Linked DNA regions of Tamandua tetradactyla. Each later gene encodes a partner of the first gene's protein in a complex. Links are inferred from orthologs where the notes say so. Each region holds a gene or a part of one and is shown in the gene's direction. Other genes may lie near its edges.

Region 1 (3,751 bases):
CCAGTATCTTCAGGGCCAGACTAATACTTCATAATAAAGGATGCAACTGTTGGTACTTCCCTCTGCACTTTAAGCACCTATGTTAACTTGGGCCTTCTACGTGGAAAGATTTCCCCCTTCTCTTTGCCGGGGTTAACTGAAACTCACGCCTGAAGTTTCAGTTTAAACATTGCTTTCTCGACGGAAATTGTTCCTGTCTCCTGGCCTTTAATTAGATACTCCTGCCACATGCTCCAATGAACAGGTCACTTTCCATATCATAGTATTTTTCTCAGTGTTGTGCGTTGAATATCTTTCTTCCCCTATAGGATATACTGTGAGGGCAGAAATCTCATTTGTCTTGCTCAAAATTGTATCCTCAACACCCCATAGGCAGGGGACTTTTTTTTTCTAAATGTACGAATGAATTCAAAGGAGACAGTATTTTGTAAGTGGCTAAAAAGGCATCCCAGCAAGGTTCTTTCCTTTTCTTCCTCATTAACTCTTTCTGCAACTATTTCTTCTGTCTGTTCAATGGCTCTAATTTTCTTTTTATATAGGGATAGCGGTCTCTTCCCTCTATCCCAAATCCTTCAGATGCACGCGATCCTACCTTCACACCAAATGAAAAGTTTAAAAAACAAACCGTGAATCCGTCCCCATTTCTTTTTCTTCAAAGAAAAAAGCAAGATGTTTAGGAAGCCAATTAACATTTCTACGATTGCCTCAAGACAGAGCCATCACTCAGCCGACTACACTTTTCAAATAGTCTCAGATACAACCAACACTCCTTCCCCGGAAACGGAAATAGGCAAGGAAAGGCCCAGAGTCCTGCGCCTGCGGATTCGTTTTCCCCAGGTTTCACGAACAGCGTCAACTGGAACACTCCAACTGGTCGACAGAGCCGTCGCTCTCGGCAGTCTCCGCTTTTTACTGGCTGCTCGGGGCACCGCCCCTTGGGCAGGGCGGGAGATTCGGTGTGCTGCAGGTTGGACTTCCCATTCCCCGCCCGCCTCCGGGGCCCTTCTGAGTTTCTCAGCTCGTCCTGCTGGGGCTGTCGCTTTTTCCATGCCGAGACGCCACAGTTTGGCAACATCCAACGAGTTGTTTTGCGGGGCTGCCGGGCAGTCTGTCTCCCTCTTCTCCTAACCCTTGGCTCCTGAGGTGAGTCCAGGTGCTCCCAGCCTCAGCGGCCGTTTTGGGCACCCGGGTCCGTGGCGTTCATCTTCGGGCTTATTTTCGGCAGCCGGGGTAGGGCCGTTGCACCTCTTGCTCCCCCCTCCCGAGGTTGCCGCCCGGCCCCTACCACTTCGAGGTCCCCAGCGGAGCGCAACTGGCTGCTGAGCTGCGGGAGGCCCACGCCCAAGTCTCCCTATGTACTTGTTGCGGTGAGAGGTCCCCTCTGAGAAAGCTGTTAGTTCTTCTGTCTTGCCTCTCCAACTGTCTTGCCTTACGTGCAAAGGACCCCCAATAACAAGGTACCTGTTGCCGGGTTTAAGCAGTCTCCTGCTTGTGAAAGGAGAATACATGAAAATCTGTAACCAAAGTAAGCAAGCGCCCTGTGAGAGGAGCGGGTACGATGAAGGATGAGGAGGAAGAGACCATATATCCCAGAACTATCACTTGTAGCAAGAATTTTTTTATGTCTTCCCAGCCTGGAAGCCCCAAATGAATGCTGCTAACCGAACGGTCACTTTTGGGCGATGCATGGTTGTAAAATGTTGATAAAACAGGATCTTTTGGCAGAGCTTTTATTTTTCAAATTAAAAAGATGTTGATGCATTGCTTTTCATTTTACAGTTGAAATCAAATTAGACTAAAATTTCTTAATGGAACCGTTATAACATCCCTGAGGTAAATTGCAACCTGAGGAAACTAGCATAGTCCTAAACCTTAAATTCAGTTATTGGACACGGTAAATGGACACAATTCAGTTATTTATTGAACGCATTTTCTGTTATTAGATATTGAACAAGATATAGAGAAGTACAACATATGTGATTAAATTGAATTTTAAAGCAAAAATACCAATAATAACAAACGTTTTATTAAGCACTTTCCTATTCCAGGCACATGATCTCATTTAATCATCACAACTCCGTTCAAGATCACACAGCTGTAAGGTGTGGAATTGAGATTAGAACCGGGTTTATCTGATGTTAAAATTGTTGCTTAACCACTAGTCTGCATCATCTTCTTTTTAAGTATATATACATGGACAGGCACTGGGAAACGAACCCGGGTCCCCCCGCGTGGCAGGTGAGAACCCTGTCTGCTGAGCCACCGTGGCCCTATACATATATTTTTTAATGTAGTAAATCTTTTGCTCCCAAAGGAGTATGTTTTGCTGCTACCATTCACTTGGTGCTACTATACTATCTTGTACTTGCGTATTCATTTTTTCCCCCTAACTCAGAAAACTCCCAAGACAGTAAAATGGTTACTTAATATTTGCATTTGTTGTTGTTGGGTAGTGTTTTTCAGGAACTATTGATGATGGTAGAAATTTCTTCAGTTTGGTGATTCTGTACTGTTTAATATAATGCCTTAACATTTAGATAAGAAAATGTACATATACATGCATTCAGGTACAAACAAGACGGGGTTAGGTTACCTCTGTCCAGGTAATTGTTATTAAAAGAAAACTGCCTAGGACCATTATTTAACTGCCTAGAATATTTGCTTTAAAATTTTCCTTCAAAACCTCACCTCACCCCCAACACACACACAAGGAAGGAACTACTAAGCTTTTCTTAAAGAGAATTATGTAACTGACCTTTACTCCATTTTCCTTTGAGTCCCAGGAAGCTCAGAGACAAAAATCCTTGTACGATTTTTATTTTCTTCTTTTCATTGTTTTTTCTCTGGCCCAGATTCCCTATCAGTATTATAGTTTATCATTTGTTTTATTGCATTTCTTCATTGTCACTGCCTCAAATCCTTTGTCGAACACTGCAGTGTTTAAATAAAAATACAGTAGATTATGAATCTGTATAGATTCATAGAACTAGGTATGTTTAACCTAATTCTCAGGGAATTTATGGGAAACCATAGAGGTCTTTGGTTATTTCCTGCCATGTGGGAAAATGATTGGACATATTATGATTAGTTTCCAGAAGTCAAAACAATTGTTTGGAATAGCAGACTTTTAGTTAATGGCCAGGAGAGGTGTGTGGTATAATAAAGTCAGGGGCTTTGCAATCAGTCAAACCTCGGCCCTAACACACTTCCTAACCATGTAAATTTCGATAAGTAATTTAATATCTAATTCAGTTTACTCATCCATAATTGTGGAAATCATGTATATAATATATATAAAATCCCCCCTCAAAAAAATCTGTATTTTATGAGTTGGTAAATGTGAAAATGCCTAAGTGCCTGATATAGTACCTGACAAACAGCCCTTCAAAGAATTTGTTAGTTTATTTATACAAATAACATGTAGCTGCATTAAACTTTTTCTCTGATATATCAGGATTTCCTGTAATAGGAAGCTATATTATGACTAGAAAAATGGCCCTGAAGCATGTGCTTTTACTGGCAGTGGCCATATAAATTATAAGTACTATCTTTATATAAGAGTATAAACTTTGTAGAATTCTTGTGAGAATTAAATGAGAATACACATAGGGTACTCAAAACTGTCTAGTACATAGTTAAGTACTTAAATTTTGGCCTTTTCCCACCAGTCTAATATACTGATCTTCTTAGTCTATAAAGTTTCATGGCTAAAATGGTAATGACAGTTATGCTCTTTACTATGCCATCATAA
Region 2 (3,751 bases), on another chromosome or scaffold:
GAAAGTTTTGGAAATGGATGATTGTGAGGATAGCACAATGTTGTGAATATGATTAATTCAACTGAATTGTATGCTTGGGAGTGGTTGAGATGGAAAAGTTCATTTTGCAAATATGTTTCCACAATTTTAAAAGAAGGAAAGAGGGAGACTACAGCAGCAATAACAACTAAATGCACAACATGATCCTGGACTGGATCTAATAATGAAGGATAAAATGCTCCCCAAAAAACGTTATTGGGATATATGGAAAAACTGGAATATAGACTGTAAGCTTTATGTCAATGCTAAATTTGTTGAATTTGATAACTGAATGTACTTAAGGTGGTTACAGAAGTGAATATCCTTGTTTTGGAGAAACATACATGGAAGCACTAAGAGTTCAAGGATCATGATGTATACAACATACACACAAATGTTTAGAAAACAGATGGACAGATAGGTAGGTAGGTAGAATGATTTGGCAAATATGATAAAATGTTAAAAGTTGGTAGATGTGGGTGGGGGATATATGTTGGCGTTCTTAGCATGGGTTTTGTATTAATTTGGCAACTCTCTTGTAAGTTTAAATCATTTCAAAATAAAAAAGATTATTAAAAAAAAACACCTAAATGCTATTCTCAGTGACCATTCTCTCTCTCTTCTAAGCAGCTACAGAGTCTTTTGGACTGTACTTTTAAATCTCTCTGATTTAGCCCCTTCCCATATGCTGTAGTGGAAAGATCATGGACTTTGGAGTACCCAAACCTATGTTCAAGTCTGTGAGACTTAGGATAAGTTACTTAAGCTAGTTTTTCTTTTTACAAAACAAGAATAATATCTCTATTATACTACAACTAATGTTTAAATGGAATGATATATCTGTCTAGTAAGTGCCTGCCACATTATCAAACACTGAACTTTAATTTCCATTCCCTCTCATGTCTATTGCCATTGCTTTAGTTTAAGCTGTTACCATTACTGTTTGGAACTTTGCAATAGTCTCTTTAACAAATCAGATTGATTCCACTTTCCATGTTGTATCCAAGCTTTTCTAAGAGGTCATTTTCTTCACTGCCTTAAAACTCTTCATTGGCTCTTTGTGGCCTACCTACCTGGTAGGGTACAATCCTCCCAGCATACATTTGTACTCAGTCTGATCCTCCTGTCTCTCTCTAGGTTTATTCTTACAAAACGACTTGTAGTCCTGGTTATGGGATTGGTTATTTGTTTTGTTTTGTTTTGCTTAGTATTTCTTTTTTGGTCTCACAGGTGAACTCCTATTTTTATAGGCTCAGCTTCCAGGTTCCTTATCCTGGGAAACTTCCCTAAAGCTCCCCAGGCAGTAAGCTTTTTTTTCCTAGGTCAGCAATTATTTATTGACTGCTTATTAATTGCTAGGCATTACAGTATACATTGTAAATAGAACTGTGAAGAAGGCAGTTTCCTGTCCTCATAAAGTATTTATAGGCGGAGACTAACACTTTAGATAATTATATTATGATTTTTTTTTTTAGTACTGCGGTCATCTTCCCGGAAGGCGACCGCTTGGGGACACTCTCTGACTGCTATGGGTGAGTACCCGAGCTCGGGGATGGGATCTAAGGCGGCGCCGAGGCTCAGCAGCAAGCTGCTGAGGGCCCCAAAGACTTGAGCCGAATACCAATTGATGGCACAAAGCTTCTTTATTGTTACATTGCAAGAGCTTAAGTGCTCGGGGACTCAAGATCTAAGAAGGACCCCGAGGCTTGGTGAGCCCCGGATTATATACAGTGTAAGGGAGGGTGGAGTGGAGACGTGGACCTCAGGGGAGGGTAACCAATCACACAAGTTTAGAAGTAGTTACTAGGCTTTGGGCAGAAGTTAGGTTAGGGATAGAGTTTGAATATAACAGGAAAGGTTTGTGGTTTTGTGGTGGGCTACGGAAATGGGCGGTCTACGACAAGAGGGGGAGAGGACAGTAAGTTAGACTGCAGGTATGGAGAGAATGTAAAGAAAAATATTTTTTTTAACTTTTTAAAGATGGCTAGGCTCTAATTCCCATAAATATGCCACAAGTACAAATAAAGAAGTTTGTAGGGTTATGAGAATGTATAACCCATCTTGGAAGGATAGTTTAAATAAAAATAATATGGTCACAGGTATTGGGAGTTGCTCTGAGCAGCCCTCTCTGAGAGATACTGCAGGGTAAAAACTGTGAAAGAATGGGACTTTCCAAGAGAAAGGAATAGTCCCAATCAATCTGCAATTTTTGCAACATTTAATGATTAGTTGGTCTCATGGGGATAGTGTAAAAAAATGGACACGTATGCTATATTAATCAATGTATATCTACTTCCTGCTTTATTAGACCCTCCCATGTGATGAAAAAGGTGTCAACCAATTATTGTAACCTCCCACTTGGAAATCTCCTACTAACCTTTATAAGCTGCTAAAACCTGCTTGTCATATTGAGATTTTCACTCTAACTTTCCCAGTTACAGATCTTCCGCTCCAGCACTCTTTCAGTAAACTCGCACCCTTGATTGTGCTGGTTACTGTTTGACAGTGGAGTGTAAAAGCTAGCTTCTCTCAGGAAAAGACATTGTAAGATTTTATGGGTCGTCCCAGGGTACCCTTCAGAGCTATTAAAATATTTAGGGAACTGGATTTGAATAGATGCTTCAAAAATATATATTTGGACTAGCTAATAATTCTAGGAGACCATAATTACAAAAGATCCTTTCAGCCATTACAAACATAAGATTCTGATTATAACATGTACAATTTAAATCTAAGTACACCAAGCACTAAGTACAACAATTCTTCATCCTAGCAATGACCTGGTTATTATTATCCCTATTTTATAGATAAGGAATTCGAGGTTCAAAATGAATGGTTCAGTGATTATTCTAAGGTCTCACGTTGGTAAGCAGTTGAGTTTGCGGTACCAAATCAGGGGTTTCAGGACTCCCAAGTCTTTTTTTCACCACGCAATTCGGCCTACTTATATCTTCCTATTCCCAGAATCTTCTAGTGTCTTGTTTCTAGTAGGTGTTCCACGAATACATACATGTGAAAGCCCTATGCGAAAGGTGGCATTACTGTTACCCCTGCCGCCCTCACCAGCACACACATCCCCTCCTCGGCAGTGAGATATTTCTGGATGTGGTGTCAGGTTTGCACGAAGAATGGCAATTCCAAGTTATTTATTCAACCCCATTACACTAGTTTCTGCACAGAACGCAACCAATTTTCCACACCCATGACAGTATAATTCCATCTTTTGAGAATATTGATCATCCCGAGTCCACCTTCCCGCAGCGGCCGCGCCCTAGTCCTAATGGACTCCGTCCGCCTTCCCTTCCTTCGTGGGGTTCTACATTTCGGACCTCCAAGTAGGAAATCGGATGCACGGGCTCGCACGTTCTCGGGAACCTACAGGGTCCGCTTAGTTCCTTCCTCCCTTCTCTTTCGTCCATTCCTGCAGCGTCTCCCAGTACCTTTCTCAAAGCACGCCCGCTGACCAGAAACCCGAAAGCCCAACAGCTCCGACGCCAGAGGTGGGCGTGTCCGCGCCTCTCCGCTTACGCACTGACGTCACTCAGACGCATGGCTGCGCCGGCCTCCCCGCGCCTTAACGGGTCCGATTTCCGGCGGGAGTGAGGACCGCCAGGCTGAGGTGAGGCTGTCGCTGCTGGCGCGGGTTCGACTGGAGCCGTAGTGTCCACTCCGGTGGTGTCCACCAGAATGCCTCACTTGGAAAACATGGTTCTGTGTCGCGAGTCTCAAGTGT

The links.
Region 2: the proteins of ORC2 (region 1) and ORC5 are in contact, whole or in part, in a cryo-EM structure (PDB 7JPO), measured with the Homo sapiens proteins. The link is inferred for Tamandua tetradactyla from reciprocal best matches to the Homo sapiens genes ORC2 and ORC5. Residues at the interface, in NP_006181.1 of Homo sapiens: Val240, Glu241, Tyr243, Phe244, Glu245, Ser248, Asp396, Gln398, Arg401, Gly402, Glu403, His426, Asn428, Ala429, Pro430, Leu431, Met432, Trp433, Asp434, His435, Gln438, Trp445; in NP_002544.1 of Homo sapiens: Asp324, Lys325, Phe328, Leu329, Leu359, Asp360, Arg361, Ala364, Tyr367, Ser368, Ala378, Asn379, Phe381, Ser382, Gln383, Thr385, Ser386, Thr389, Asp400, Gln401, Leu402, Asp403, Tyr407.

The regions. Positions count from the first base shown.
Region 1 is NC_135329.1:175,430,955-175,434,705, reverse strand, and holds the start of ORC2 (origin recognition complex subunit 2), read left to right. Parts: upstream 1-926; 5' UTR 927-1,143; intron 1,144-3,751. UniProt on the Homo sapiens protein: Component of the origin recognition complex (ORC) that binds origins of replication. DNA-binding is ATP-dependent. The specific DNA sequences that define origins of replication have not been identified yet.
Region 2 is NC_135327.1:142,471,939-142,475,689, reverse strand, and holds the start of ORC5 (origin recognition complex subunit 5), read left to right. Parts: upstream 1-1,533; 5' UTR 1,534-1,550; intron 1,551-3,445; 5' UTR 3,446-3,705; coding exon 3,706-3,751. UniProt on the Homo sapiens protein: Component of the origin recognition complex (ORC) that binds origins of replication. DNA-binding is ATP-dependent. The specific DNA sequences that define origins of replication have not been identified yet.